4 linked regions of the Saccharomyces cerevisiae S288C genome follow. The gene in region 1 interacts genetically with each later gene. Each region holds a gene or a part of one and is shown in the gene's direction. Other genes may lie near its edges.

Region 1 (8,124 bases):
AGAAGAAAGCTGTCTCCTCCATAGTGTCGGTCCCATGAGTGACAACCGCACCAGCGTAGTCATCAGAGGCTAGTGCCTCGGAGATACCGTGATACAATGGGATCAGATGCGTATAGTTTAAAGAATTTGAACCAACGTTAGACACTTGAAGATAGTCCAGATTTGCCTTCTCAGCTAAAGATGGGACGGCTTCTATTAAATCATTTACGGTTAATCCCACGCTATAACCCGCCGTTGTTGCACTTGTCGAACCCTTGGAAGCGATAGTACCGCCGGTACCAAAAATTTTGATTGATGGCAAAGAAGAATTCTTCTCTTCACGAATTTTTAGTAGTGGAGCACCACTGGACATTGCGACAAAGAGAGAAAGTAAAAGGGTATTTAAAGATCTCATAGTTGGAGGTTGGTGAGTACCAGATTGCTTACAAAAGAATAGCGAGCCAACATTTGCTCTGCCTCAGGCCTCTTGGTGCTGCTTGAAGACTCATCTTATATGGCTTTTGTATGTCATGATTTGTTCTTGTACATTATGTGTTGATATTAAACAAATTGATTTTTTTTTTTTTGCGATAGCAAGCAGATAATGAAAGAGACAAGGACTTGGAACATCCGATAAGACTGCGCCGATATCGATCTTACAGTCCTTCCCTTGTGTCATGACTTTCGGAAAAGCATCCTCGTCGACTGGTAGTTTGCTGTCTGTCACGTGCTGAAGGGTCTGATACATTTTTTTAAAGATAAGAGACGGGGTTTACCCTTCGGAGGACTAAGCGAGATCTCCAAGTAAAGATCTCGCTTATCAAGAAAGCAGCCAAGTGTGGAACGTCCTTTTTTTTGGTTTCAAAAAGATATTCAACAGTTTACACTGCAGCTTTAATTGCCTCAAAAGGATATCATGAGGTGATCTAGGGTCAGAAGGGAAAGATTACAGCATCTTGAGTTGAATCACATCTGCAAAAGGTGGTATTATTGACGTTGCTCTTCCTTAATGGAAACTCATGGGGTTTGGAAAGGAGGTGCGGTAATCTATTTTTTTCGAACACAAAACCTAACCTTGAAAAGAAACTGTCCAATTTCATTGAACTTACCTCAGAACGGGCCGGAGTCTTTGCTTTCAGTCTAACATGGTCTAATTTCTTCGAAAAGCTTCATTTAATTGTTAGACTGTGGTTTTACAAGGAAAAAACCAGTGCTATACTGAAGCGATACCCAGAACTAATTACCTTGTGTGACGATTCGGCTCAGCGAAACGGACATGGTAAAATTGGGAATTTGAAAGCAGGCAGCAGCCTTGTACAGCGACATGACGATAGGTTTAGAATCCCCATCACGTACGAGTTGAAGAATTCTACGAAGGCTCTATGCGTTATTCCTCTATCGGTATAAAGTGTAGCGTTGTAGGGGGGATATTGGTGGTTTAGTTGAATTTGCGCAACGAAATTATAGAACTCATAAAAGTTCAATTCAATACTTGAAACCCTTAACGTTGGTTCGACCATCAATTGTTTGGACATAATAGTTTTATTCTGCGGCCGATTTCAAAATTTAGTAAATCAAATGTTGAAGCATCACCAGTAGGATGACCACTCCCATGACAAAACTCCGTCCCAAAGATAGCTTGATCATCCTAAGCGGGTCGCATTTTACTATCCCCAGTTCCGAAGAATAACAAGGCTCAATGCATATGCTGTTTATCGTGCTCACAAGGCGGTATGACGTTTTTAGCAATGTAATTATATTAAAAAGATCTTCAGTCACTATGAGTGGTTGATTGCCCCATAGAGAGCTATAAGCCGACGTGAAAGCTGCTGGTTCCAGCTTGGCTCATGTCGTCACCAGTCACTAGTCACTTGGTCGCATTCATTGCTACTCATCTGCGAGTGAGCATATTTGAGATCTGACTTGCCAAGGGATTAGAATCACGTAAGACTCTTGATCCTTAGAAGATATTTCTGACAAAGAACCACCTAAGCCATGCAAGTTTTTTTTTTCATTTGGTGGCGAAACAAAGGTGATGAAAGTTTCTTCTTGTACAAACGCCAAGCCCGATAGGTGAGACAATTCTTGAAGTAATGGACCTCTGAGTAAGCATATCAGTCGAATGAAGTTCCAATATGCGTTGGCCAAGGAACAGCTAGGCAGCAACTCGCGCAGTGGCGTCAAAAAACTAATAAGTAAACACCACTGGCTTCCGGAATACTATTTCTCTGATCTCTCATTTTCTGTTGTACAGCAGTGGGACAGTAGAGCCATTGAAAAAACTACAATCATATCTTGTATGCGGCCCGCAAACCAAGAGATTTATCCTTTGAGACATTGTGAGACCCTCCGTTCGCAACCGTGCTCTCTGTTTTCATCACTATATGCACGCTCTTTCCAAAGCTCCTGCACTTTGCACGTGGCGGAGCCATCGCCCGGCTTCCATATGTACGGCTGCCACACCTAACTATTTCGGTTGCGGCCATATCTACCAGAAAGCACCGTTTCCCGTCCGATCAACTGTAGTTAAGCTGGTAAGAGCCTGACCGAGTAGTGTAGTGGGTGACCATACGCGAAACTCAGGTGCTGCAATCTTTTTTTTTTTTCCGCGCGCAAGCACGTTACCCGGACCCCGTCTTAGCACACGCACACGCACACGCAGCGCTCACAGACCAGCGAAACAGACCTGAGAGCCACGATGCAGCACACGCTTACCCGGACCGCCTCTCTGCCAGAACGCTCGAGCAGCGCCCACAGCGCCGCTACTGCGTTACCCGCACTTCGCCGCCCGCCAGACAGCTGCGAGACTCTCGTCCCGCTACTGTGTATCTTTTGGTTCGTCTTCGTTAGTATGAGCCCGCTCCCGCCGGCTCGTGCCAACAAATCAGACAACAAAGGCTTAATCTCAGCAGATCGTAACAACAAGGCTACTCTACTGCTTACAATACCCCGTTGTACATCCAAGTCGTATACAAATGATTTATCCCCACTCAAAATGACATTGCTATCCGCCGGCAAGCACCCAAGGCCTTTCCGCCAAGAGCACCGTTGCTAGCCTGCTATGGTTCAGCGACGCCACAAGGACGCCTTATTCGTATCCATCTATATTGTGTGGAGCAAAGAAATCACCGCGTTCTAGCATGGATTCTGACTTAGAGGCGTTCAGCCATAATCCAGCGGATGGTAGCTTCGCGGCAATGCCTGATCAGACAGCCGCAAAAACCAATTATCCGAATGAACTGTTCCTCTCGTACTAAGTTCAATTACTATTGCGGTAACATTCATCAGTAGGGTAAAACTAACCTGTCTCACGACGGTCTAAACCCAGCTCACGTTCCCTATTAGTGGGTGAACAATCCAACGCTTACCGAATTCTGCTTCGGTATGATAGGAAGAGCCGACATCGAAGAATCAAAAAGCAATGTCGCTATGAACGCTTGACTGCCACAAGCCAGTTATCCCTGTGGTAACTTTTCTGGCACCTCTAGCCTCAAATTCCGAGGGACTAAAGGATCGATAGGCCACACTTTCATGGTTTGTATTCACACTGAAAATCAAAATCAAGGGGACTTTTACCCTTTTGTTCTACTGGAGATTTCTGTTCTCCATGAGTCCCCCTTAGGACATCTGCGTTATCGTTTAACAGATGTGCCGCCCCAGCCAAACTCTCCTGGCGAAATTTATTGTTTTTACATAAACTGTATTATGAACAGAAGGTAGTAGTGCATTAGAGGTATTACATATCACGTGATGTTTATTTCTTTTTACCTATATATGGATTGAATATTAGAGTTACCCTACGTTCAATTTCTAGATTCTATGGTGTTACCCCTGATGAGTTCTGCATCTGTCCTATCTACCTATTTTACCGTTTTGGACGAATATTAAAGGGCGGGTAACACAAATACTGTCTGCGTAATCAATCTTTTTAGGACTAATTAAGGGTAGTTCCATAGTTATTAGAATCGTATTTCTCGAATTGAATTTCCTTCCCTATGATAAACTTCTACACTGGAAGGTCATCATTATTTTTTGTTAAGTACTTTACGAATGAGAAGGTAGTTTATCAGCTTATATTTCAGGTCCGTTGACTTTTTCTGGCTACAGTTGTTTTCAACTGGTGCTGCTGCAGGATATAGGAAGTCGAAGATTTATTTTTTTGCACAGCTTAATGTTCCTGGCGAAAAAGCAGCGAAATCGAGAGGTATTTACTGCTCAGAGATATGAAGAGGTAGGTACATATTCATTGGCAGATATTCTACAATGCAATTATTATGACCAATCACACAGTATTGTGCTGACCTCCATTGAGCGATGACTAAAAAAACTTTTAGTAGCACGTTTATTATTGCTTTCCCTTGCTGCTATAAGGGAAAATTCAGTAAATAATACCGAAGATATAATGGTGTTTATCAGATCAGTGTGATGTGTTCAGCTAAATGGAAAGCTACAGATGCTATCTGATCGAGATATTGCAAGAAAAGGTCTCACAGTATTTTTTTCACGTGCTTTTTTTTCAAGGCAATGACCAATATGAAACGATCGATGAGCATAGTAAACAGTATTATCTGGATAATTCTGTATGCAATGGTAACGGATAACTTAAAATCTTTATGTTAAGTATATACAATTGCATCACTTTTTTTTTTTTGGCTTGTGGCTTATATTAACAAATTTATTGTGCATTTTTTGCAATCTGAAGGGCTGCTTTAATATTGAATACGGGAAGGGCCCTTTCACACCCCACTATAAGTGCAGTTTTAGGAAGAAAGTATTAATGTATCCTTCAAAAAAGAAAATACACGTGCTGTTAATATACCGACATCGTGTTTTGGGGAATGGGTACTAGAGCCGCCGATATCTATTCATATTTTTTATGTAGCAACATCTCATTTGAACAAGAATTTATTGACATAGAACTTTATACAAGTATGAAGAGAAATTAGAAATTAGCAGAGATGTGAAATGAACTTACTAATAAATCGGCGTGGTCATTGGTTCAGTTTTTCTTCGATATAGGATACATTAGGGACAGTGGATGTATTTCCTAGGGCAACCATTGAAACTGGTTTGTTTTGTAATCTGTAATTTGCCCACATAATAATATCATCCTTAGTGATTTTATCAACCTGCTCGAAAACTTCTTCTGGTGATAATCTTTTACCTGTGGTCACCACTTGTCTGCCTATATCTTCTACAATGGCTGTCGATCCATCCAACGATAGCAACAGAGCTGCCTTTAGCTGAGCTTTTGCCCTATTCACCTCTGCATCCGATATTTTGCCAGATTTTATTCTCTTCCACTCTTTCAGGATCTCATTAACAATTAACTGCACGTTATGCTCATTAGAATCAGTTACTATGTACATTCCCCACAGACCTGAATCAGCGTAAGAGGTGGAAAATGACATATAAGAATTAGCCAAAGAACCATTTTGACTTGCTGCAACAGCTAATGGAGAGGGGGAGTTTGTACCTGTGCCAATGGCTCTGTCCCAGTTACCAACAATCGCTTGTGTTGCCAGAGCTACAAAATAATCAGGTGCAGACCATGACACGCCTTCTAATGCGATAGCAATATGTGTTGTAGGTAACGTGTTTTCTTTGATAAACCTTTCACCTCTACAAAAAACTGGTAATGGGCCCCTTGGTGATCCCAACGGGACAGGCGATTCAGATTTGGGCACATGGCCAAAGTATTTTTGAGCATACTGTACCAATTTTTCATGATCAACAGCGCCCGCACCTGCCAATACCATTCTGTCGCCTTTATAGTTCTTGGTTATATAGTCTTTCAAATCAGTTCTTGTTATTGATTTTATGTTTTTTATAGGACCCAGAATGGTTCTTCCTAAAGGTTGGTCCTTATACGTAATCTCATGAAGATGGTCAAAAACAACTTCATCATACATCTTGTCCACCTCTTCACTTTCTCTGATGATGACATCCCTTTCTCTCTCAATAGCACTATTATCTAAAACTGACTTAGTCAAAATATCACTTAGAATATCAACAGCCTTTGGGATATCTTCTTGTAGGGACTTAGCATAATAAACTGTGTTTTCTCTTGATGTATATGCATTCAAATGAGATCCGATATTTTCAATTTCCAATTCAATTCCTTGTTGTGACCTATTCTGAGTACCCTTGAAAGCCAAGTGTTCTAGAAAATGCGCTGTACCATTGTTTTTTACGTTTTCTGCCCTAGAACCAGCATCGACAAATATTCCAACAGTAGCCGAAGATGTGTTGGGGATGTACTCTGTGGCAATTGTCAACCCATTAGGAAGTTTAGAGGTTCTGGTTCCTGGAATTTGTGAGGAAATTGTACTTAAAAGCCTCCGTGTATTACGGAACTTGGATGCTGTTCTTGAAAACATTGTATGATCACCTATCACTTTGCGCACTAGTTTGATGCCTGAGAGCAAGATATCATGATTTATCCATAGCGTTCAAATTCACTTCTTATTACTAAAGAGATGAGTCCAGCTCGATTACGAATATCACTAAATACGTGAAAATAATATTGGTCATCTAATCTGTGCACTGAACAGTAGTATCACCCATTGTTGGCTGAGAAATTAAGCTCAGCATTTTAGCTTTCCTCACTACGTGTTGAGGAATTTAATACGTAAATATAGTCTTAGTAAAGCCGTGCATTTTACTTCTTAACTCCTTTGGACGGGATCAAGTTTAAGGAGAATAAAACCCTGATTCGCACCTTCAACGCGGCTCTAACATGGTACTATCAGACTCTCACATCCAGATTGGAGTACCCTTATCCGAAGTAACGATTTTTTATTACGGTTTAAGATAATAAGGGACGCGTATGATAACTAAAAATCGTCAGTTGAAGGGCGCTGGCCATAGGTATCCCTTAATTTTGACGTCGAATTTCATAGAAGCAAACCTATATATTTTCAGTCCCCAGTGGACAGACCGTTTATCAGTTCTAATGAATCAGCAACGATTCTCAAAAAGGTTGCCCCAATTCTTAGGAAAGTAGGAATGTCATCGACTAAGTTTTTGAAACCACTCTGCAGAATAAGGGCTTTTCATACTTCAATTGCCAGATCCTTTACCATTCCTTTTCTGCCAAAGATTCCACAGAAACCTGGAGGTGTGAGTGGGACCGCAAATGATTCCTCTTATATGCCGCCCGAAAGCAGAGCTCAGGGTTCGTACCATTGGATTGTCGAGCGCGGACTGTCCTTAGCGGTTCTTCCGCTGATCGCAGTTCCCTTGGTCACTACAGGCCCTATTTCCACTTTTACCGACACATTTCTTTCCTTGGTCCTGCTAGGTCATTGTCATATCGGATTTCAGTCTTGCATTATAGACTATATTTCTGAAAGAGTCTATGGAAAGGTACATCATTACGCGATGTATTTATTGAGCTTGGGCTCCTTTTTATCGTTCGTCGGTATATATAAATTAGAGAGTCAAGAAGCTGGTCTTATTGCCTCTTTAAAATCATTATGGGATAACAAACCTGTGGAAAAAAAGAGGCAGTAATCATCAATTAATCAATATGGTTTGGTTAGTGGTGACTACCTTTTTTATTCTCGTTATATATGTGTATTAGAAATAATTTAATAACCGATTATTTATTGCTTATTTTACTGGTCCCAGTTTTCCAACAGGACTTCTTTTATGGGCAAAGTGAACTCACCCTCTTCATTGACGTATTTTCTTGACCAAAGTTGGCCAGTATTATTGTGTTCCATAGGTATCAAGTGCGTTTTAGTTTGCAGGCCAATTTTCGTTATTATGCACGCTGAATGCAACGCTATTTGGTCATTGAACAACTCTGGAAAATTGACAGTGCTGCCATGTCTCTTGTCGTTTAATATGGGCTGATTTAAAATTTGAGAGACGTGATTTCGAATCTGATGTTTTTTTCCTGTAACCAATTGTAAAACAATACAATTTTCGTCAACTTCTTTGAACTTAGTAATCTCCCTACCACCATGTGAAATCAAGAAATTATATTTAGGACCATATTTAATTTCATAGTTATTTGGTTTGTTGAAACGACCGGACGACTCGACAATAGCTACATACTTTCTTTGCAACTTATAACCGTTGTTGCCGCCCTTTTGTAAAAATCTAGAGAATTTTACACTTCCGTCTTTAGTCTTTGCA
Region 2 (8,504 bases), on another chromosome or scaffold:
ACAACCCTATCACCGGGTTCTGTGCATTCACACATAAAGCAGGTATCCATGCCAAGGCCATTTTGGCTAACCCATCTACCTACGAAATCTTGGACCCTCACGATTTCGGTATGAAGAGGTATATCCACTTCGCCAACAGACTAACTGGCTGGAACGCCATCAAAGCCAGAGTCGACCAGTTGAACTTGAACTTGACGGATGACCAAATCAAGGAAGTTACTGCTAAGATTAAGAAGCTGGGTGATGTCAGATCGCTGAATATCGATGATGTTGACTCTATCATCAAGAACTTCCACGCAGAGGTCAGCACTCCTCAAGTACTATCTGCAAAAAAGAACAAGAAGAATGACAGCGATGTACCGGAACTGGCCACCATCCCCGCCGCCAAGCGGACTAAGCCATCCGCCTAACGTTCCCAAACCATTACATTATGTTCTTTCACTTATTACATACGATATATAGCATCTACATCTACATATCTAAATGATGTTTTTTCCCATCTACTTTGTCCGATACGCATTAAAAGAAGAAGATTTACTCTCCCGTGATGCCGGGCCAATCAGACGCGCGCATTCGCGGCAGAATAAGGGGAGGCTGCTGCGGGTACCAAATATCCAGATATTCACAATTATGCCAATCAACTGTCTAGTTGCTGACACCCATCGTTTTCCACTGCAACGAGGTTTTGGGGCTAGAAAAGGCGTTAACAATCGTTAGAGAAGGAGGGGTTCATAACTTGACTTGTTGTATCTTGTTTAAAACTTTCTTTGAATTTGTTCGTGGTTGAATTTGTTTTTGCTATCCCAAAGGAGTGCATTTTACACGCATTACTACAGCACACTTTTATACAGTTCCACAATAGAATATGTTACCACGTTCAGCATTAGCACGCTCATTGCAATTACAGCGCGGTGTGGCCGCAAGGTTCTACTCTGAAGGTTCTACCGGCACCCCAAGAGGGTCAGGCTCAGAGGATTCGTTTGTTAAAAGGGAAAGGGCCACGGAAGACTTCTTCGTTAGGCAGCGTGAGAAGGAGCAACTACGCCATTTGAAAGAACAACTGGAAAAACAACGAAAGAAGATTGATTCTTTGGAAAATAAAATTGACTCGATGACCAAATAATCATGCGTTTCCGCAGAAGCTTTTTTTTTTTTTTTTTTAGAATATTCTTACTCTTTTATAGTCAAACAGCAGAAAAACTATATAATAATACATCACACTGAGCTTTTGCATTTTCGATAACTATCATTCTAGTTTTCCTCTGGTTTGAATTTTCCTCTTGTCTGTCTGACTAATGTCACTCATTATTTCCACTTCGCGCAAAGTTCGTCCCAATGCGGAAAGGCATAGAAAGATAGGAACAGTGTGGAACATGGAAAAGTTCCAAATAACGTCAATAGTCCATACTTAAGATACGAAATTTCAAAATTCCTTCTTTTTTGTTTCAACAAGCTTAGCCTAACACCAAGAATATACTTAGCATCTCTTCGCATTCAAAATTTCTCTTCCATTCTTTGACGTTTTAAATCATACCTCGTATTCTTTACACAAAAGAAAGATACCTGTGAAATATATCTGAATATGGTCCGATTAAATCATGCAGCATCATATTTTATGCCTATTTTCTGCTCCACAAGGCCTCACATAGTGATACTTTCTGCGCTGTTTAGTATTTCACTGTTTTCACTATTCTATGCGTCGTCCGAATTACTGCTACACCAGTATGATGATCCATTGATGTTCAAACCAAATTCGCAGGACTATTTCAGGACCTTTCTTTTGGGGCTTTTTTCACCATTTCTTTATTATTTCCTGAAGACCTTTCTATTCAATATAAATCAAAGGTTTTTAATATTGAACCTGATAGTGGATTTTCCTATCAACGACGTCTTTATGCTTTTGATACTGATTGGTTTAGCGTACCCTCAGGTGCAAGATCACGAAGGCGGTACGATCAAGCATAAGGAATGTTCTTGGCACATCATTCCAAGACAAGCCTATATCTTTGGTATATCATGGGCCCTGGGTGAATTCACCATATGCATAATAGGGAATTTGTTTAACTACCAAGAAATCGCCGATCCAAACATTAATAGTGGCTTCACACACCAGGAAAGCGCCAACACTTACTGTAACAATAATGATATGAGCCATAACGATGACTGCGGTTGTAGTACAGAATATCGCCCCAACGTCGTAGACAGAAGTGATATTACGTTGTCCAAATGTATTGAAGTAAGAAATGACTCATCTTCCATATCGAATAACGTATACTCGTCTGAGTACCATCCAATCAAACCTCTACGTTCATCGTCATCAACTTATGGCAGCATACGACAGCAACCTCATGAAAATAAGAAGCAGCTGCATGTACCAGATAATTCGCAGGACGATACAATTATCATGATGAACCCCATCGACAATTCATTAAAGTTGACAACTCTAGATACGGGTGATTTGAGTTTCCCCATAGACGAAGAACAGCCCATTTTGAAGAAATCTTTTGGTTATACATGGGCAGTTCCTAATGAAAATACACAAAATACTACTAAAAGCTTCACACCGATAAAGAGATTTATTGCATTTAGCACGGCATACCAGTTGGTCACCGGTTTATTGTTAATGATATTGGTAGTTGGTAGTAATATCATGTTGACAATTGGGGAATCATTGATTCTGTCGATGTATTTCGTCTATGTTCGCGGCCATGAAGGATTATTTACTCCCGTGGTGAACTACTTCGGCTCAAGAACCATTTCAAATTTCATCTTATGCGTAATAATTCCTTTCATATCTCTAAACTTCCTCATCAACACTTCGATATATTTAAGAAGAGAGCTAGACGATTGGTTTAATAATTCACAGGGGGAGTTTGAGGACGACGACGAAAATACTATCAGTAAGAGAGTAGCTACAAATCAAGAGTACCAACATCCACTGAGTGCTAATTACATTTCGATGGATAGTCCTGATGTAATAAATAGCAGCCCGGGTCACTTCGGGATGAATTCAGGCCAGTTGTTAGGTAATACGACGTTATATTATGGTAGTTTAAATGGGGATGATGATGATATGACCAACGACTCCGCTTTACTAAGATTCTGCAAGAAGCTAGTCAAAAATTGGAGGGCTTTGGCAAGAAATGATTCTTTTGTACTTGGAGTAATGGTTTCTTGGAGTCTTCTTGTTTTTGTAACGGGAATACTTTCAACAGTTTATATATAGCATATAAGTAACGACCGTGCACATATTAGGGTGTTCATATCTTGAAAAATCTTTATGTTATCCATTTTACTTTAGGGGAGGTGGAGCTTAATAATAAAATTTACATAAGAACAACAATCTGTAAGTAATTATAAAAATATATTAAAGGGACATTTTAACCCTACTTTAAAAGTTTAACTACATCAGTGGTTCATCAATCAAAGGTTATGCAAGGTAGAAATTTGTCCAAAAGAAAATAGATCATGCATCATTCAATATGGAGCTCACACTGTATGCTACAATTTGGCCTCCATTCATAACTGCCAAGATAAAATTTGTTGGCAATATGGAGCTCACACTGTATGCTACAATTTGGCCTCCATTCATAACTGCCAAGATAAAATTTGTTGGCAATATTGAAAATTCTTAAATTAGCGCTGCGCGGAAACCAGCGTCACTAATTTTTTTTTTTATTGCTGCACTAAAAAAAAACCAGCTCAAGTAGATAATCTTACAAGGGACAAGTAGTCAAGCCTTGCTTATTATAATTCTGTTTAACGGTGCAGTGAGTTTGGACATTCATGCAACGTGGTAAATATGTGTCTCTTTGCTTCTGTATTTAAGCATTTGGGCAGCTTGCGGTCAGTAGAAGAGTGCATCGACATTCATAGATCTCTAATAACATATATTTAAGTGGATATACGCAAAGAAAGGACAAGAAAACTTGTTTCGGTAACAGCATTATTAATTCTGAAGAAATACGCACAAAGAGATGATTTCTGACTACGATGCTCTTTTGCAATTCAACAAAAAACCTGTTTCGCAAGAAATGATTCAGTTCTTAGCCACTTCTACTGCTTCCATAATTAAAATCAGGGAAAATAATAATCCAATCCAAGGATGTCGCCCACCAGACTTATCTATCTTCATTAAAAACGTGGTAATTCAGTCAAATGTTCAAACACCAACTTTAATGGCCACATCAGTTTATTTAAACAAACTGAAAAGCGTAATACCAAAAAATGTGTACGGTATTAACACCACAAGACATCGGATATTTCTCGGATGCTTGATATTAGCTGCCAAAACTCTGAACGATTCTTCTCCCTGGAACAAACACTGGACCACGTACACAGAAGGTTTACTCAGAATACGTGAGGTGAATACCATCGAACGAGAACTATTAGAATATTTAAATTGGGATGTGAGGATAACTACACCGGATTTGATTGATTCTCTTTCTTACTTCCTCGGGCCTATCAAGGAACAACTATTTTTACAAAGGAGACAAGAAATGCTGTTGTTCAATGCACCAAGTCCCGGCCAACTGAAAGAATATATAAATCATAGAAGACCGGTTTCGCATTCTAGAACTTCTTCTGCTATATCGGTTCCTTCACTGACATCCATGGCAACAGTTTCGACAACAGACTCAAGGTCTTCTCTACTGGCAAAATACCAACCGTCCCTACCGTTGGTGGAATCTGACAACTTCAACAAAAAAAATCATGTGCCGTTAAGGAATAATAACGATATCTGTAATAATTTCAGGGCAGAGGAAAACATACACTCAGTAAACCATATTGATGTAACAATGGGAAGTTCACCAGTAATGTCGCATAAGCCCACAATTCACCAACGGTTAAATTTTACAAGGAGGGGCTGGTCATCGTTTTTCAAGCAATAATTCTAAGTTACTCGCCTTTTACAAGCTCTATAAATATTCTTTTCCGTTCTTTAGTTGTCTTAACTTTGTACAATATGAATAACCATCGTTTCTAGGCTACTAAAAAAACACCATACTACATAAACAAATATCTAATAATGAATACTCTTGGCATTCGTCTTGTTTCTCGAGGAATATCGGCCGAGTTTTTTTCATTTTGACAGGTTATATAATTCAAAATCTATCTGACTCTGAAAAAGTGGTAATAAATGCATTGACAACTTCTTCTCTTTATTTTACAGACATTAATCCAGCACTACAAGTGGCATATAACAAGATGCTAAGAAACATTTTGGTGAGAAGTACTGGCAGCAATTTCAAATTTGCTGGCAGATATATGAAATCATCAGCTCTTTTAGGATACTATAGAAGAGTTAACTATTATTCGACCAAGATACAAACCAGACTGACTAGCGAAAACTATCCAGACGTGCATCGAGACCCTAGATTCAAAAAATTAACGTCCGATGATCTAAATTATTTTAAATCTATTTTATCGGAACAAGAAATATTAAGAGCCAGCGAATCAGAGGATCTTTCATTTTATAATGAAGATTGGATGAGAAAGTACAAAGGACAGTCCAAGTTAGTATTGAGACCTAAGTCAGTGGAAAAAGTTTCTTTAATCTTAAATTATTGTAATGATGAAAAAATTGCCGTTGTCCCACAAGGCGGTAACACGGGGTTGGTAGGTGGTTCTGTGCCCATTTTTGATGAATTAATTCTATCTTTAGCAAATTTAAACAAAATAAGAGATTTTGACCCTGTATCAGGTATCTTGAAGTGTGATGCTGGTGTAATCTTGGAAAATGCTAACAATTACGTAATGGAACAAAATTATATGTTTCCGTTGGATCTGGGAGCTAAAGGTTCCTGCCATGTTGGTGGCGTGGTTGCAACCAACGCTGGAGGACTAAGGTTATTGCGTTATGGCTCACTACATGGAAGCGTTTTAGGCTTAGAGGTGGTAATGCCCAATGGTCAAATTGTTAATAGCATGCATTCCATGAGAAAAGACAACACCGGTTATGATCTGAAACAGCTGTTCATTGGCTCAGAAGGTACTATCGGTATCATCACTGGTGTTTCAATCTTGACTGTTCCTAAGCCAAAAGCGTTTAATGTATCTTACTTGTCTGTTGAAAGTTTTGAAGACGTTCAAAAAGTCTTCGTCAGAGCCAGGCAAGAATTATCTGAGATTTTATCCGCTTTTGAATTTATGGATGCTAAATCTCAAGTATTGGCCAAGAGCCAATTGAAGGATGCTGCCTTCCCTTTGGAGGATGAGCATCCATTTTATATTCTTATCGAAACGTCAGGGTCAAACAAAGATCACGATGATTCCAAACTTGAAACATTTTTAGAAAACGTCATGGAAGAGGGCATAGTAACGGATGGTGTAGTGGCACAAGATGAAACCGAACTCCAAAACTTGTGGAAGTGGAGAGAAATGATTCCAGAGGCAAGTCAAGCTAATGGTGGTGTTTACAAATACGATGTTTCTTTACCACTAAAGGACCTATATTCTTTGGTTGAAGCCACTAATGCAAGACTTTCTGAAGCTGAATTAGTGGGTGATTCGCCCAAACCAGTGGTGGGCGCCATTGGATACGGTCACGTGGGTGATGGTAATCTACACTTAAATGTTGCAGTTAGAGAGTACAACAAGAACATTGAAAAGACTTTGGAACCATTTGTCTACGAGTTTGTTTCCTCAAAACATGGTTCCGTTAGTGCCGAACATGGGCTAGGTTTCCAAAAGAAAAATTACATTGGCTATTCTAAGAGCCCGGAAGAGGTCAAGATGATGAAGGATTTGAAGGTTCATTATGATCCTAATGGAATTTTAAACCCTTACAAATACATTTGAAAATAAAATGCCAAGTTTTATAGTTATCTACATATGTATATATTTATCAATATTATATTCTACAATTGTGTATATTATATGGTAAGGGTGATATTTAAGGAAGAAATCCACCCTTCTTTAAGGTTTCCACTGCACATGTTGAAATGTGTCTGAATCTTGATGAGCCCAAAGGCGTGCCACCATACCATCTGGTCACTATTACCAAGACGTTGAATATGTTTGCTCTTTCAAGTAAGGTCAATAAACGCTGTCCAGCACCAGCTTCGCCACAGTCAGCACATCCTTGCTCAATGTTCTTTGGCTGCACCGTTATGTTCCTTGACTTGTTAACATGACTATTATTACTCTTATTTGCTTTATTGCCCTTCTTTTTCTGCTCTTGTTGTAAGTGCAAATTATTTGATACCTCGGCCGTTCTCCAGGCATACATGTGCATGTGGGATGCCTTGGAGACGCTTTTGTTGTTTTGCGTTAGTTCTTGGAGTATGGAGGGTATATCCTTTTGATTTTGTAATGGGCAACATCTTGCTTGAAATTTCGATTTTCTATCAACTAAAACTTCTGATTCATTCCATATTTTCACTAGCTTACCAACATTCTTACTCATTTCTCCAAAAAATAGTAATACCAAACATCAATACCTATCTAAGAATCTGTATAATGTCTTTTCTAAAGGTTTTTTACAGCTGATGATTGATGCATGACTTATTTCCACAGTGCCGTATTTTCTCAGTTGCCGTTTTGGGTCTGCTTTTCACAATGCGAAGCTTTGTTGAAAAGAGCTCTAAGGTCAAAAACAATAGTAAGCTGATCGGTATTAAGTACTTGCCTTCCTGAAAATTGCTAACAAACATCCAAATATACCTTCCCCATAGTTGAATGGCATCTAATAGAACAAAACCAGGTTAAGATAGGTTTTACTTTGAGTTGTTAAATACACGCAGAAAGCGTCTTTCCACATAATCTGAACATTTTGTTATCGATGGCTACTGGCAGGATTCAATTTGCTGTTTCTACTCCCTGCAATACTAAGGGTAAACCGTCTGGTTATAGGTTATTTGAATTTAAAAACGATCGATTAGCACTGGTCCCATCAGAAAGAGGTTGTACAAAAGTAGATGTGAATGCAAATATACAAGCGTTTTGTTATTTAAGGCCTAATGGTAGAGACACGTCAATATCTCCAGACGCAACGCATATTTTGGACTCATGTGATTACATGGTGCTGGCTAAATCCAACGGATTCATTGAAATCATAAGCAACTATCAATACAAGATAAAAAATGGCCTGCGATTAGCGCCCTCTTATATCCTTAGATGTACTCCGGAAGATTTCGAATCCAATTTTTTTAGTGACTATATGATCGCTGGTCTTGAATATAGTCAAGGTTTATTATATTGTTGTATGTGCTCCGGTCGAATATATGTCTTTGTAATGAACCTTCCCACTGATTACATTCAGTATAAGAACATGTACAACCCCATGTTTCCAGATTGCTTTTTCAAAGTACATCACGATAATAATACAACACATTCTTCAGAAGAAGAAAAATTATTTGAAGGTAGTACGCGGTACACTGGAAGGTCATGCTCTAAGCATATCTGCTACTTCCTTTTGCCTATAGAACCATCCCATTTAAGATCGTCACCCGTGGTATCTTCGTTTTGCAATATGTATCAAGGCCTGCCCATATATAGGCCTT
Region 3 (8,007 bases), on another chromosome or scaffold:
AGCCGCATCGGAACTAACGCTAAGTCCCGTGATGTCAATGTATATACCTGAGTCAATATCGATGAAACGAGCATCAATATTGTTTTCGCCGTTCCCATGAACTCCTACCGTAATTGCGCTTCCTACATCTAGTAAGAATCTTCCATTACCTTCTCTTGGATCTTCTAATATTAGGGATTGGTTGAAATATTGACTCAAGTAATGTAAATGTTTAATGGGCATCTGTAAATCATGGTCGACATCCCAGGGAAACTTCAGACCATCATATAGATATCCATACAATGTACCATGCGATAGCCAGGAAATTAATCCGTTAGCCTTAACAAATTTCTGAAAATTTCTGATCAAAGAATTCAATCTTGCTTCAAACTCCTGAGGGTCATTTAGGAGATTATGTCCGATTGAGAAAAATCGCCTGTCTCTATGATGACCATCGGCAGTCGCGTCCGTAATATCAGAGGCCTCTGCGAAATACTTTTGCTGTAATGCAGGGGACGTATTTACGGACGTCTTTAAACTTCGTAAATAGTGGGTATCATGAGATGGTAGGCCTTCAGACCTGAGCCTGGTCTCTAATTCAATGATCCTCTCTTTTGCATTGAATTGGAAATCAGATGGTGATAGTTCTAGATACTCTCCAGCGTATATTGTTTTATCCAACGCTTCAACGTCAAGTTTCCTTTTTTTAGTGGATCCATGATGTAAAAATTTTTCAAACATGGAAGTGTGGTTGAAAATGAGGTCGCCATTTACCATTTCATTTCTGTGCCTCTTAATGTAATTCTGTAGTAGATTTGTCTGTACTATATTTGATTTGGAAGAGTCTGTTGTCTTCAAATTGATTCTGTATGCATCTTTATCGCTGTCCAGTACGGTTAATGACAGTGGAGTAAAGTTAGAATATAACAAGTGGTTTTTGGCTTGTAAGTCATACACTTCTGGCCTCAACCTTTCAGAAATTTCGCTTATGATAAAAGGCAATTCGAAGGGAGTACCATTGGAATACGCGTCATTATTCATGCAGTGATCATGTATGGCTTGCTGCACAGAATTAGAATCGACAACCTTTCTTACCCTGTTGTACCAGAGCGATTCGTCATATTTATTCCTATTTGTGACGAATAAAGGCTCTTGGACTTCACTCTCTACCATTTCTAGCACATTTTTATCAAAGGCACCCTCGCAAACGAACTGGCAAGATATGTTCGTGTGTCTCAGTGCAATGAGTTTGTTTGTAGAGTCAAAATTAGCCCAATCGTACCACGAAAATGCGTATTCATTGGAATCTGATTCTAATAAGTGATCTAGTAAAACTGACCATACCAGCCTTGGGTCGTTATCGTAATATCTCAATTCATCTACCGAATCAAGAACTTGCCCTTTTTCAGGACCCATTTTCACAGTGAGAAGATTATTCTTCAAGGTGTACGTGTCGATCCATTTGCCTGAAGTATCAAAATTCATTTTTTCGTAAAGTTTGGCTACGTTGTCTTTTGATCTCAGATCGAAAGAAGCATGGTTGTTGTTTCTGTTAGTGTAAGCAAGCGGTTTGAAAAAGAGCGCCATGAATGACTTCCAGTTACCGTCAATAATCGACGAGCGACCGCCCAATACAAATATGGTAATGAATAGTAACTGGATAGTTAGAAGAGTAATGATTATCTTTTTAAAGTGAAGCCGCAGAGATCTCAAAACGTACATGGAGAACCTGCGCAGTGATAACATCATTGGAATTGTATCTTGCTTCGCTTTCTTTTCTCTTTCTCTCTTTCTTTCTCTTCCTCTCGTTTAGACAATCTCAATGATTCTAATTCATAAAAATAAACGTTGGTTGTTTTCCAGAAAGTAAATAACAGTTGTTGTTAACTATATAAGATACAAATAGCGGAATGCCAGACTAAAGACAAGTGCACTCTTACTTGATCTTCGTCCAATGTTTCTTCTTAAATAATCAAGCAAAGCCCCAAAGTAGAAATAGGCCCGTGATTGTCGCGGACCTTCAAGGATGTGACGTTTTTGCCTGTTTTTTTCAGGTAATCCTCTCCACTACTATCTTTTTTCTTTTCTGCGACCCAAAAAAAAAAAAAGGAAGGGAAAACTAAGATTTTTTGATAAAAGGCGGGAAAACGGAGGTTGTGCGTATTTCTCTTGGCGATTTTTCCATTGAACGTCAAAAAATTCTTGGCAAAACTTTTTTACTAAGCCATTTAGGGATGAAAAACAATAACGTACAAAGACATATTTGAAAGTCCGTCCCGTCCTCTTTTACTTGCTGAGTTTGAGGCTGAGTGATTCTCTAATACCATCCGGGCGGTTTCAAATATGCCGATGGAATATTGATAAAAACTTAACAGAGGTGCTATGGGGCAGAGACGCAGATACATAGGGAGACTCGAAATACATTTAGCTATCTATTTTTAACTCTCAAGCCTCATGTGGATTATCGCTCCTAGTGCTTTTTCTTTCGTTCTCTTGTTTCTTGTGAGTGTGCATATCCTCGTATTCTATTCCCTCCTTCCTTAAAACGCGTTTCATGTACTCGATTTCTTTGTAAGCATTTCCCAGTTCTTCCTGCAGTTTCTCATTTGCACTGGCTAATTGCGATGCGTTTTGCTCGCTAAGCAATTTTTGTAACGTCCACTTTTCGATGTTTGCTTCATCGGTTTCTTTCAATTTTTGAATGTATTCAGCGGCACACGCCAATATTGCTGCCTTACTTGATTCTCTCACGGGCAGGAGGTCGCTTAAAACGTTGATTGCAGTGTTGATGTTTTCGCGGCGACGCCTTTCGACTTCTTTATGGGAGTCTTTTCTTTGCTTTTTCCACTCGTCTGTTGTGGCCAAAGTAGTAGGTTTTCTTCCACGACGACCCGGCTGCATGCTTATATCCTTTTTGAGATCAATGTCAGCGTCATCATTGTCTTCATCATCCTGTTGGTGTTCTGGCCCACGATCGTGTTCTGCCAATGGTATGAGCATGTCGTTTTTAGATTGCTGTGTAGATTCCATTGGTGAAGACGTCATTCCCTCCAGGGAGGTGTTTGGCTTGACTCCTTCATTTGATGGGGTTATGGCTCTTTCCCCATTAAGGGAATCCTTGTGCTCACCATTCGCGTTCGTTTGATTAGATGTGTGGGCATCAGAACTATCTTCCTGGCCCTGGATTAAGTCTGTATAATTGACGGTAGCGGCAACAGCAGCCTCAGCCACTGACGCATCTTCGTCATCACTTCCTTTCTCATCTTTGTTAGACGTCAGTCCGCTTTCATACTGACTTTGAGTCCCTTTTAGCGTAGCCCCTTCGCTCAACAGAGCAGAGTCAATATTTCCGTCATTGCTCTCTTGTGACAACAAGCCTTGATCTCTTTGCTTTTTCCTGGCCTCGCTGTAGTTCTGCTCCTCGTTATAGCCTCTTTTTCTTGCCGAATGGATTTCCTCATCCTCAGTAGAAAGCTTATTATTATTTGCCAGAGAGTTCATCGTTAATAAAAGTGTAGAAAACCGTATTATATTTTAAGCACTTGATGTTGGTACTTGTAGCAGAAATGAAAATGACCGCCAACTAAAATGATTAATTAACAAAGTGTTTATCTTTAAGGTATAATGGTTTACATTCTACATTAAATAAAAAAACGTGATAAGCACGTGGATAATTGTTGTTTGCCCAATACTTTTCTCGTCCGATTTTATTTTTTTTTTGACCTTGGTGGGTGAGACATGGTGGTCCCGAAGGATCCGAGAGGAATGAGAAAAACCGATCACGTACATCGATGTACGGGAAAAATAAATAATAAAATGTTTGTTTATTGTTTGAAGTAAAATATATAAGTACATATGTGGATTTATATGTGTGTGCTTTATTTCATTGTTTGATTTATCTTCCGTTCTTTATCTTTTCCCGGTGGGATATTTTATATAAAAAGCTTATAAGGAAGGGTATGAAAGAATATGACGATACTAAAGCATAAAAGAGGGAATTAAAGAAGTCCTAACGTCTATCTTGAGATAAAGGCGCTCACGGATGACATGTTTGTAACGCTGTTGGTAATGTCCAAGTGGTGGTGAATTACCTTCTTCTTTTTCGAGGATGACACGCTTGGACTTCCGAGGCTTCTCAGTGAATTGCTTGATGACGAAACATTCGGTGCGCTAAAGTTCTTTGTAGAAGCCGGTGTTTCCGATTTGAGTGATAGGTCGCTCATACGCTTATCTAATTGAGTGCCAGCCTTTGCAGGGAGCGGAGTGGGGCCATTATGTGTTGGTGTAGTAGGGGTGGAGTTTAGCATCGACTTTAATTCCTTCATTGTGGAATCATCTTCGCTTAAGTTGTCCTCTACTTTTGTGGAGGTTGGTGTTGGTTTTTCCAATATGCTGTCCACATTAGTCGTGGTAGCCTCTTCAATGACTTTGTCCTTGTCGCCGTTCTTGACCTCATCTTTCTTCAAATTTTCCTTTTTATCTTGCTGCTTAGGTTTGGTGCTTTCATTCCCCCCTTCATCCCCAACATCGTGTGTTTTGGTCTTTGCGCTATCTTTTACCTTGGATTTTTGTTTCAAGGAAGGAGATTCTGCAATTTCCAACATCGATCTTGGTTTAGAAGTGAGCGTTTCCTTTTTTAGGAATGGATTAGACGTGTGAATGACCTCTTGATCATGGGGTGCATCTAATGAATTTTCACTAAAATCATTGGTAGAAGTACTTTTCCTTAATTCAGGAACCCTTACTAAGTCATCATCATTTGGCTCGACACATGTTTCAATTTGTTGGAAAAACGGATCATTAAATAAATCATCCATTGTATATCTAGTTGCAGGGTTCGGGTCAGCCAATCTCCATGCGATACGCGTGGCATCAGTATTCTTGAAATTTCTTGCTAAAGAGTATTCGGAACCAGGACCCGGCTTGTGGCAGCCCTTGTCCCTGAAATGTGGGTTTTGATGATTGATGAAGTTGTCATATGACACTTCAAATTCCCTGAATCTCGCATCAGTGTTACAAGAATCGATGAAGGGGATGATATTGTTAATCATGGTAATCAGCATGATTCCGAGGGCATAGGAATCCATGGCCAACGGATTATAGGGTTTTTGGAACTTTTCGGGGTAGTGCTTCTTGGCATCGAAGTACATTACCTCTGGCGGAGTGTATGGTGGAGAGCCAATCATACCTTGGCATGTTTTCACTGGACTAGTGTAGTCATGAGGTATCACATGGTACCAATCAGAAATACCGAAATCCGTCAATTTGCATATACCTTCTTTAGAAATTAAAACATTTTCGGGCTTCAAATCACGGTGAGCAATACCATTGTCATGACAAAACTTAATACCTTGGGCCACTTGTTTGAAAAGACAATATTTTTCATTGAAGGGAACGTTCTTCCAGCCTGTTCTTTCCATCAGTTGGAAGAGGTCCTTAACACCTAGTTCCATAATAAACCCCCAACCACGAGTTGTATATGTGGTCGTGGGAACTTTTAGAAGATAAAAAGTATTCGTGATGTGAACGTTATGACTTAAATGCTTAGCTATGATGAATTCTTTGGAGCATCTCTTGTAAAACTTCTCGGGTGACTCGTGGTATATCATATTCAGTTTTTTTAGAGCGTAAACATCCTTTTGCCTGTAACTTGATTTAACCTTTCTAACTTCACTAGACCCACCCGAACCAATAGGTTTATTGTCCGTATCAAATACGAAATTATCCGTTAAATGGACACTATATTGTTTCATATCTTCGGGCAAAAAATCGTTCGGATTAGCAATTGGAAGGGGCAACATCCGTATCTTGCTGTTACCATCATGCATGTAAAAACTCAAATCGTTCTCCTTATTCGTATTCAGAGTGTCTGCAAATGCAGTATCTGGCCTAGCATGGTTTGGGCTTATGCCGTATGGATTATAAACTATATTCTCGTTGGGAAAATGGTGACTAGCCATGCTATTAGACCTTTGCGGTAAGCCCGCGTGATGAGTATTTCTTTCTTTGTTTCTCGCCCTTTCTTTTTCCTTTTCTCTATCCAAAACTGCTCTATCCCTATCTCTTGTCGAGGCAATGCCAGTACCTGTGCCCAGAATATCAGAGGGAGAGTTCAAGTAAGGGTTATTATTATGTTTAATTAAGTCCTGCAATGCGACAGAGGACTTGTGTGACGACACAGACCCATTTGAAAATCCTACAGAAGCATTGTTTTTTCTTCTATGTAAAGAAGCAGATCTCTGCCGTGCCCCAGCAGAAGACGAAGGTGAATTACCACCGCTACCACTGCCACTAATGGACGGAGACGTTGGCCTTTTTCTTAAACTTCTCCCATTGCCCAATTGTTCGGCACTAAGCAGTAACGAAGAGTTATCCGTGTGACTGCTGGAATTAAACAGGCGTTTTCCCAATAGTTTCAAAGTACTAACAGAGGGACTTTTATCTACCTCTTTGTCCTTACCGTTTCCCGCCATTATCTTATTCAATCGGTTAACCTGTAAAAAACTGCTACGGCTTACACAACTTTACTTTCCTGGTGTGCGTGCGATATCGTGGTTTGGATAAGGGTAGCGACGGGATGTGACAATACCTTTCTTTAACACTATATATAAACCTGCTTTTACCGTCAACCGGATATTATTTGGTTCTACCTCCCACCTGCAAGGGGTCGTGCCAATGACGAAAAGACAGCCACCCATGCACCGCACTCGCACGTGGCAACTATTTGCGCCTTTGCCCAAGAGGTTATGCTTGTAGATGGGGTGACCGTACTAAAGCGTTCATGTTGTATATACCATATATGTAGGCTTGAATGGCTATAGGACGCGGGTATGTTTATCATGCTGCCGGCACGTAGTACTTGCAGCTCCGGCATTTCTAAACTGTACCTGTAGTGGAAGGGTCTTTCCAATAGTTTTGCAAGACATATCATTTTGCACGCATAGAACAGTTTCGGATACTTTTGATACAAACGGGGAGGAATGGTTTATTCAGTAGGTACATTAAGAACGTTTGCCTTGAGATAGCGTTTGGTGCTGTTATTTTGTGAAGAACGGAGACTTGTTTGCTGTAAGGGATAAAAAAAATGGCAGTACAGTTTATACTGTGCTTTAATAAGCAGGGTGTGGTGCGGTTGGTGAGATGGTTCGATGTACACAGTTCGGATCCTCAGCGTAGCCAGGATGCCATTGCGCAGATTTATAGACTCATATCTTCCAGAGATCATAAGCATCAGAGTAACTTCGTAGAGTTTTCCGATTCGACGAAACTCATATACAGGAGGTATGCGGGTCTGTATTTTGTCATGGGTGTGGACTTACTTGACGATGAACCCATATATTTGTGCCACATCCATCTGTTTGTGGAGGTGCTAGATGCATTTTTCGGCAATGTCTGTGAACTGGATATCGTATTCAACTTTTACAAAGTCTATATGATAATGGACGAGATGTTTATTGGAGGGGAAATACAAGAAATTTCAAAGGATATGCTGTTAGAAAGACTAAGTATTTTAGATAGACTAGACTAGGATATATGTACAGATCCTCCTAGAAGAACGAAAATTTATCATGATCAATATGCGTACTCAAAACAGGCTCAACGATTTGCCAAATAAGCGCTTCAACTTCCTGAATGCCCTTATTAGTAACGTCTACAATCGTGATTGACTCATCGCCTTTCCTTATCTCTTTATCCAATAGCTTCATAAAAGTTTGCTTCACTTTTTCTTGAAACTTAACAGTTTCGTATCTTTCGTCACCAAATCCAGATTTTTCGGCGTTATTGTCGACATCTTGAGTGCTTAAAAATAATGTCAAATCCGGTTTCAGCAACCCTACATCGGGTTGCAAGCACCAATCCAAATCCATTCCATTTGTCCCCTTAGCGGCAGAATATGCCACTCCAGAATAAACATATCTGTCCATGACAATGTTCTTGCCTTCTAGTAAATCTTTCTTTATCTTGTCAACTATTTCCCATCTATTTGCCGAAAACAAGAGGTGAATTGCCTGATCTGATAATTGGAAA
Region 4 (8,699 bases), on another chromosome or scaffold:
ATTTGTTTCTTTTATTTCTATAGAATTTCTTTAATAAAAATTTGCAACTTTAGTTTAACGTCTAGAATCAAGCAAAGTTTGACCCAATGGTGTTTTCGAGACTCCGTTGGCATTCGTATATACCACCTGGCCTCTTAATATGGTTTTCAAAACTGTGCCCTTGACCGTCATCCCGTTGTAGGCAGTCAATTTGTTTTTGAAGTAGACACTTGAATTACTTATTTTATGTTTACTTGCAGTATCAAATACCACCAAATCAGCATCGTACCCGGGAGCTATAGTGCCTTTTTGGTGAGATAGTCCTACCTGATGGGATGTATTTTTACAGCACCATGTAACGATATCGACCAAAGAGCAGCCTTGGGTAAACATCAATGGCAAACCTAGTCCGACGGAAGCGATTCCTCCCCAAGAATCGAAAAAGTCACCTTTTTGCAAGTTCTTCAACTCAGGGGTGCATGGCGAATGGTCGCTCACTACTGAGCCTATAACACCTTCACGCAAAGCGTCCCATAGGCCTTGGCGATTAGACTCAGAGCGGATGGGTGGACAACATTTAAAGTAGGTGGCTCCGTCTGGGATCTGCTCTGCAGCAATACACAAATAGTGGAAACAAGTCTCTGTTGTGACTGGTAGCCCTGACGCACGTGCCTTTCTGATCAAGGGAATTGCTTTCATTGATGCCAGATGAACTATATGTACAGGAGGAACTGGTCCATTTCTGGCTCTCAAGCATTCGAGAATCAAATTGATGGCGTCTATTTCGAAAGAATCCGGCCTCGAGGACAAAAACGAAGAATATTCACGATGGCTTTGCTCGGGTTGCTGTTGGTCCTCATGTGCCTTGGGCAACTCAGCATGAAACATCATCATGGTATCCTCCTCGGCTAAGACCTTCAAGGCTTCTTCTATATATTCTTTGCCAATTGGAGGGAATTCTTCCACACCAGAATCAAGCAAGAATCCTTTGAACCCGCGAACGCCAGCTTTGACAAGCGGAATTAAGTCTGGCAAGTTGTGTGGTACCAGTCCACCCCAAAACCCAACATCGCACCACATTTGGCCCTCAGCAGCTTCCAATTTAATTCGGAAATTCTCCACATTTGTTGTGGGAGGAATAGCATTTAGCGGCATATCAACCACCGTTGTGACCCCGCCACTAATAGCAGCTTGAGTTCCAGTTTCGAATCCTTCCCAGCTAGTCCTACCGGGCTCGTTCAAGTGAACATGAGAGTCCACAAGTCCAGGCAGAATTGTACATGGAGATACGTTCTCCAGCGTATGTATTTCATATTTGGTTATCTCAGTTTTCTCCATAACCACGGAGCCTTCTAAAACATCCAGAATCGTGCCTGATTCGGTCGAATACACAATAGTCGCAGGTTTATTTGCACCATTGATAATGACATGGTCGGAAGTGATGGCATTGATAGGCATCTTTGTTCTTCGCAGTATTTCACTTTTTTTTTGCCTATACGTTTTTGCGAAATATACACTTTTCTAACCTAATTAAAGATAGCTAAAAGAAAAAGGGGTACCTTCAATTACAAGATACCAGTAGAAACTCATCACTTTTGCGTTACCTCATCATTGTCCCCTTCGATGAGATATGCCTCCTCTATATAGATAATTAAGCACCGCAATTTTGAACCACTTCTCCTGATAAAGTTCCATCAGTCCACCATCAACACATTTGCGCCTATTCGATGATCCGCAGTAAGGGACAATAGAATCGAAACATGCAGTTCCTTTCTTTCCTGCAATTCTCGGGTCTAATGTGGCTCGAGGGTATCTCTTATCGGTATTACTTTCTTATCAATGAAAAATTTCTGCCAGGGAAAATGCGCCCGCTTTTTTTCCGGCCATCCTTACTCGCTGTCGCATACAAAATAGCGCCTCTAATCTAGTTGCGATAAGGAATGTGTATGTGTAATTGAAGATCCAGGATGTTTTCCTTTTCAGGGAGATGAGAAGGAATAATAGGATGGATTGACCGCTTTGCTGTCACGTCGATAAGGTTCCTTTAAAAATTGTGTCCAATGATTAGCATAGAGAGGTAGAGTATCAGAGAAACAAGTTTGTAATCGAGAAACTTGATCTGCTAGTGTTGAGCATAGAAGGCTAGGAAAACATGGGGAAGAAAAAAAAAGTATAAATAATTAGCTTGATGAGTAGTTTGAATATATATGTTACTTTAGTTTCCCTTTTTGACCTTTTATATTCATCTACATCTTGTGATATAAAACATCAACAAAGACGAGAATGGCTAACGACGCTCTAAGTGCTATTTTCAGTAATCCTTCGAGGAAAGGTGTCCAACCCTCCACATCTATTGTGTCATATACAAACAATGAAGATGATATTATAGATGTGGAAAATGGGAAGTTCAACAAGAACAAGAATATCAACACTAATGTGTATGTGGACAACTCCTCAATAGAGGAGAGCGAAGTCGTGCCCTTGCCCGAAACAAAGTCCATCTGGAGTAAAATATACTACGATTTCATTGTGTTAGACAAGACAACTTTGAATGTTTCGTTGAAAGAGTCGTTCTTGTATAACAGAGACTTGAAACCGGTTGAAGAAGAAAGAAGGTGTTGGTCCTGGTTCAATTACTTATATTTCTGGCTGGCAGACTGTTTCAATATTAACACATGGCAAATAGCTGGTACAGGTCTACAACTAGGTCTGAATTGGTGGCAATGTTGGCTTACAGTTTGGATCGGCTACACTTTTGCAGGTATCTTCGTAGTATTGAACTCGAGATTTGGTTCCGCATATCACTTATCTTTCCCTATTACTGTTAGGGCCTCATTTGGTATATTCTTTTCTATGTGGCCGATTATAAATCGTGTCGTGATGGCTATAGTATGGTATGCCGTGCAAGCCTGGTTAGGTGCAACGCCCGTGGCACTGATGCTAAAATCTATTTTTGGCAAGAATCTGGAAGATAGAATCCCAAACCATTTTGGTTCTCCAAATAGCACTACTTTTGAATTCATGTGTTTCTTTATATTTTGGGTGGTCAGTATACCATTTGTCCTAGTGGCTCCTCATAAAATCAGGCATTTATTCACAGTAAAAGCAGCTTTGATCCCCTTCGCAGCCTTTGGATTTTTAATCTGGGCTTTGAAGAAATCGCACGGTAAAATTGAGTTGGGGACGCTGAATGATTATTCACCTCATGGTTCCGAATTTTCATGGATATTCGTTAGATCCCTAATGGCCTGTGTTGCTAACTTTGCCGCTTTGATTATCAACGCCCCTGACTTCGGTAGATTTGCCAAAAATCCTCAAGCGTCTTTGTGGCCACAATTGGTTGCCATCCCATTGTTCTTCGCCATAACATGTTTGATCGGTATCATTGTTACTGCGGCCGGTTATCACTTATATGGGGTTAACTATTGGTCACCACTGGATGTACTTGGTCAATTTTTGGAGACCACTTACACCAGAGGTACTAGGGCTGGTGTGTTCTTGATTTCTTTTGTATTTGCCTTAGCTCAACTGGGTACAAACATTTCTGCCAACTCTCTGGCATGTGGTGCTGATATGACGGCTTTGTTTCCAAGATATATTAATATTAGAAGAGGTTCTTTATTCTGTGTGGCAATGGCTCTATGTATCTGTCCATGGAACTTAATGGCCAGTTCAAGTAAGTTCACCAGCGCTTTGGGTGCTTATGCAATTTTCCTTTCCAGTATTGCTGGTGTCATTTGCGCGGATTATTTCGTAGTAAGAAGAGGATATGTGAAATTAACACATTTATTCCTGGCACAGAAGGGTTCCTTTTACATGTTTGGAAACAAATTTGGTGCCAATTGGAGGGCCTTTGTTGCGTATATTTGCGGTATCGCTCCAAATTTACCAGGTTTTATAGGTGATGTTGGAGCTCCAAAAATTACGGTTTCAGAGGGTGCAATGAGGTTATACTATTTAGGTTATCCGGTAGGTTTCTTTATTAGTGCGGTGATATACCTCATATTATGTTACTTTTTTCCTGTCCCTGGTACTCCCGTAACCAATTTTCTGACAGAGAAAGGATGGTTCCAAAGATGGGCTTATGTTGAGGACTTCGAGCAAGATTGGAAGAATGAGTTACGTAGGGATGACCTCTGCGATGACACAGTCAGTATCTATGATGGCACCGAGGAAAAGATAGTTTACTAAATAAAAATCCCAATTTATTCTCTTACCAGTAGTGATCAGGAGAATTGATAATTTCTTCAAAACACCTTAATATTCGTTCTGTGTATTTTTATGTACCTTTCTTAATCAAATTTATCAGCTTCATACATGCATTCCCGTCTGAATAATGTACTGATGATTAGCTAAACCGTCATCAACCTACCAAACTTGCGCTTGTTTGAGCCTATCAGAACTCCGGATAATTCCGACATCTTATCTTTGACTCGAATTAGCGATAAGATAAAAACACAGGAACCACAATGAAATTCAGCTGGAAGAAAAGTCTAAATTATAGACACATTTTCTGAGATCAAATGCTATAAAGGAATGGAAGTGCATTTTGCTATGATATGGGGAAATTATGAAGCCGATCAAACAATTAATTGTATCTAATCGGTCTCTTCTTTAGAAAAATGAAGTTTTTTAGTTTGGCAGATGAGGCAGAATTTAAGTCAATAATCATTTCAAAAAACAAAGCAGTAGATGTTATAGGATCTAAGTTAGGTGGTCAAGTGGTTTCTTTTTCAGATGAATGGTTTGCTTCTGCTGAAAATTTAATTCAGCCAACTGCTCCTATAAGGGATCCTACCAGATTTGTTCATTCAGGCGCATGGTACGACGGCTGGGAAACACGAAGACATAATGAGATGGAATACGATTGGGTTATCATCAAGATGGGAGTCGCTGCTGCCCATATTATTGGTGGTGAAATTGACACTGCGTTTTTCAATGGTAATCATGCACCATTTGTATCAATAGAGGCGCTCTATGACGAGGGCGAAGAAGGTAATATAGTGGAAGATGACTCGCGTTGGGTTGAGATTGTTGAGAAATTTGAGTGTGGTCCTTCGCAAAGGCATCTTTTCGTTAGAGGCAACGGCCTTACTAAAGAAAGGTTTACTCACATCAAGCTGAAGATGTACCCCGATGGAGGAATCGCCAGATTTAGATTATACGGAAGAGTTGTTCCTCCAGAACTCAAAACGAAGGATCATATAATTGACTTGGCTTATGTTTGCAATGGTGCTGTCGCTTTAAAGTATTCTGACCAACACTTCGGTTCAGTTGATAATTTGCTACTGCCAGGTCGAGGTCATGATATGTCGGACGGCTGGGAAACCAAAAGATCGAGACAACCAGGTCATACTGATTGGGCGGTAATTCAACTGGGCAGGGAGTCTTCTTTCATTGAGAAGATTATTGTTGATACGGCACACTTCAGGGGGAACTTCCCTCAGTTCATTACCGTGGAAGGTTGCTTGAAGGAGTCAGAATCAAGTGAGAACACTGGTGAAGGAACATGGGTAGAGCTAGTTGGTAAGTCAAAGACGGGGCCTGACAAAGAACATGTGTATGAAATACGTAAGAGTATAAGAGTCTCCCATGTCAAATTAACGATTATTCCAGATGGAGGAGTGAAAAGAATAAGAGTTTGGGGGTACTGATAAATACTTAACTACTGTATATTTTAAACCAATGCACTCTTGGCACTTTAAAAGTAAAGGTATAAATGTAGTTAAAAGTTTTTGTTTTGATAATTGAATGTTTTCATTTCGCTATCCCCACGCTACTTTATTTACTTCTTCTTCTTCACGACAAAACATTAAAATTTACACTCTATAAAAAACAATCATATTTCTATTTATTTTTGTGAGTTGACAAATCTTATCATAGTGATTAGAATCTGTAAACCGATCTCAATCGTGTCCAGAAACAGCGTGCCATCCCTTTGGAATGTTTTCGCCAGTTTATTTTGCAAACCCGAGAATCCTGCACAACCTAATATTACAATGTCTGAATCAAGCTTTTTAATATTTTCGCGATATATAATTTCTGCTATCTGCTGGAAATTTTCTGGACTATGTAGGTCGAGGACCTGTAAATCAGTAGATACCGTACCTTTCCATAAATTTTTGTTAACTGTATTCCCTGTCAAGAATTTCGATTCCACAGAGTTATTCAATATTGGAATCCATTCTTTATTTGAAGTAATAATAGAGAACTTCTTTCCAACCAAATTGCAATAATTAATACTACTATCTAATAACCCAACAATAGAAACATCTGCTTTTTCTTTAGCAGCTCTATCCTTTATCTTTGCTACCAAAGGATGATCTGAAAAACAGGCAATTAATATCCCGTTGAATTTCTGAAAGTAATATACCGACTCCTGGTCATCAATTAAGAGGGGAAGACAGGCCTCCATACTTTTAATACTTGTTTCCTGCCCATCAATTTGTGGTGGCGACGTGTCTGGCCCTGTGAAATAACTGATTTTACATGATTCCATTGAAAAAGTCTTTTCAATGGTTTCCCGCAAGGACACCGTCATTGACTTCGAACTATTAGGATTCACAACAAGTATTCTTGTTTCCATCGTTCGATAATTTGCTTAGCTAGTTTTTCTTTGTTCTTTTGATTTTCCTGAGGTAAGAATTAGTAATTCAGTTTCCTTACATATTCTCGCTTCAAAGGCTTAAATATGATCTGGCATGGAGAAAAAATATGAGTTCAATTTGTCATACCTTATCAGGCCTTATCAGCTCAAATTTGATTGGATTATGCGTTAAAACAGCGCCTAAAATTCTTCGAATATTCGTCAGGTTATGTACGTATACATTCTATAATTTACTTAAGTCAACTGGTTTGGCACTTGGCTTAATAATTTCATCATACAATAAAGTGGTCAAGAAGTCGCTAAAGATTTTACCAGTGACTTCAGGCAAAAAATACTTGGCTGCCAAGGCAAACTTGTTCTTTTCACCCAGCGGACTTGCTGAAGCCAATTTTGCAGTCTCTTCATTTAATATCTTAGCGGTCAATTCTGGAGTTACTTTGTCACCGGTATCACTTAAGACAACACCATGTTTAACCCACTGGTACAATTGACAACGTGATACTTCCGCAGTAGCGGCATCTTCCATCAAATGATTAATTGGGACACAACCAGATCCCCTTAACCAAGCCTCCATATATTGTAGGCCAATATCCAAGTTTACTCTGATTCCCTCAGTAGTGACTTGAGCATCTTGAATCTTCGTATTCAATAAATCAGATGATGTAACATGTACATCCGGGACAAAATATATTTGATTTGCTGTACCCATGTTACTGAAAACTTCATTACAAATCGGTGCCAATGCTGGGTGTGCTACCCATGACCCATCATGCCCATTCTTCATTTCTCTAATTTTGTCATTACGAACTTTGTTCATTGCAGCTTCATTAGCCTTTGGATCATCTTTTATGGGGATTTGGGCAGCCATACCACCCATCGCATGGACCCCTCTACGGTGACATGTATTGATCAATCTTTTCACATAAGCATCCATAAAAGGTGAAGTCATAGTCACTAGATCCCTATTTGGCAAAACGTGTTCAGGCAAGTTTCTCAGTTTTTTAATGGTCGAAAATATGTAGTCCCAACGACCACAGTTCAAACCGCTTGAATGTTCTCTTATTTGATAGATAATCTCCTCCATTTGGAAGGCCGCTGGCAAAGTTTCAATCAGAACAGTGGCCCTAATGGTACCGCGGGGCATTCCAATAAAATCTTGTGCAACACAGAATATGTCATTCCATAGTTTTACCTCCATATGGTGCTCCATCTTTGGTAAGTAAAAATAAGGTCCTTTACCAATTTTAACTAACTCTTTAGCGTTATGGTAAAAATATAAACCAAAATCGAAGATGGAAGCACTAATCGGTTCATCATCTATGTAAAGGTGCTTCTCCACCATGTGCCAGCCACGAGGTCTGACAATTAAAGTGGGCAGTCTTGAAATGTCATCCTTCAACCTGTACTCCTTTCTTGGTGTCTTGAAATCGATTTGATTTCTAATGGCATCATAAAGATTAACTTGTCCGTAAATCATGTTCTCCCAAGTTGGAGATGAAGAGTCCTCGAAATCAGTCATATATGTCGTTACTTCAGCATTCAAAGCGTTGACTAACATATTTCTCAATGGTGGCCCAGTAATCTCGCTGGATCTGTTGATCAAACCAGGGGCTGGGATAGCACCTTGCCATGTAGGATCGTTCCTGATTTGTTCGGTTTCCGGCAAGAAATCAAATCGGTATTCACCAGAGTCTAACTTTGATTGTAAATTGCTTCTGTTGGCTAAAAGCTGTTTCCGTGTTGAATTGAAAGTTCTATGCAGCAAAACAATGAACTCTAAGGCATCTTTTGTTAAAATATCAGCTACAGTAGTTTTGGAAGGTTCAAATTGAGGAGTCGTGTCGATGTCTGCGTATAGAGCAGTGTTGTCCAAGCTTATCTTCACCATTGTTCAGTGCTCTTTACCGTGCCTATGACACATACTCTAAGTGATATCAACTGCACAGAAAGTGAAGAATTAAGACTACATGCGTAAATGTCCCCATTTTATACTTATTGCTTCACCAATTGACGAAACTATCCAATCTTTGTGATACTTTCACGATGTACCTTATCCAAGATAAGCCAAAACTTATGAAATTCAATTTATGTGATAAGAAAAGCAAACGCAATT

The links.
Region 2: mutations in SHH4 (region 1) and PCL9 together harm fitness more than expected from each alone (negative genetic interaction), as found in Saccharomyces cerevisiae (one large-scale study listed by BioGRID).
Region 3: mutations in SHH4 (region 1) and APS2 together harm fitness more than expected from each alone (negative genetic interaction), as found in Saccharomyces cerevisiae (one large-scale study listed by BioGRID).
Region 4: mutations in SHH4 (region 1) and DAL2 together harm fitness more than expected from each alone (negative genetic interaction), as found in Saccharomyces cerevisiae (one large-scale study listed by BioGRID).

What each region holds. Positions count from the first base shown.
Region 1 is NC_001144.5:486,896-495,019, forward strand, and holds SHH4 (protein SHH4), read left to right. Parts: upstream 1-6,987; coding exon 6,988-7,494; downstream 7,495-8,124. Other genes in the region: asparaginase ASP3-4, read right to left, coding at 1-394; YLR161W (uncharacterized protein), read left to right, coding at 2,102-2,446; YLR162W (uncharacterized protein), read left to right, coding at 2,678-3,034; RRT15 (Rrt15p), read left to right, coding at 3,511-3,699; MAS1 (mitochondrial processing peptidase), read right to left, coding at 4,971-6,359; pseudouridine synthase PUS5, read right to left, coding at 7,599-8,124. UniProt on the Saccharomyces cerevisiae protein: Homolog of SDH4, but seems not to be a stoichiometric subunit of either the succinate dehydrogenase (SDH) complex or the mitochondrial inner membrane translocase TIM22 complex.
Region 2 is NC_001136.10:134,314-142,817, forward strand, and holds PCL9 (Pcl9p), read left to right. Parts: upstream 1-3,977; coding exon 3,978-4,892; downstream 4,893-8,504. Other genes in the region: homocitrate synthase LYS20, read left to right, coding at 1-410; INH1 (ATPase inhibitor), read left to right, coding at 866-1,123; AIT1 (Ait1p), read left to right, coding at 1,583-3,226; DLD2 (D-lactate dehydrogenase), read left to right, coding at 5,209-6,801; YDL177C (uncharacterized protein), read right to left, coding at 6,896-7,408; GID12 (Gid12p), read left to right, coding at 7,784-8,504. UniProt on the Saccharomyces cerevisiae protein: M/G1-specific cyclin partner of the cyclin-dependent kinase (CDK) PHO85. May have a role in bud site selection in G1 phase.
Region 3 is NC_001142.9:544,232-552,238, reverse strand, and holds APS2 (Aps2p), read left to right. Parts: upstream 1-7,063; coding exon 7,064-7,507; downstream 7,508-8,007. Other genes in the region: MNN14 (Mnn14p), read right to left, coding at 1-1,728; CBF1 (Cbf1p), read right to left, coding at 2,425-3,480; protein kinase PTK2, read right to left, coding at 3,996-6,452; CDC8 (bifunctional thymidylate/uridylate kinase), read right to left, coding at 7,527-8,007. UniProt on the Saccharomyces cerevisiae protein: Component of the adaptor complexes which link clathrin to receptors in coated vesicles. Clathrin-associated protein complexes are believed to interact with the cytoplasmic tails of membrane proteins, leading to their selection and concentration.
Region 4 is NC_001141.2:406,206-414,904, forward strand, and holds DAL2 (allantoicase), read left to right. Parts: upstream 1-4,601; coding exon 4,602-5,633; downstream 5,634-8,699. Other genes in the region: DAL1 (allantoinase), read right to left, coding at 55-1,437; DAL4 (allantoin permease), read left to right, coding at 2,263-4,170; DCG1 (Dcg1p), read right to left, coding at 5,831-6,565; malate synthase DAL7, read right to left, coding at 6,810-8,474. UniProt on the Saccharomyces cerevisiae protein: Utilization of purines as secondary nitrogen sources, when primary sources are limiting.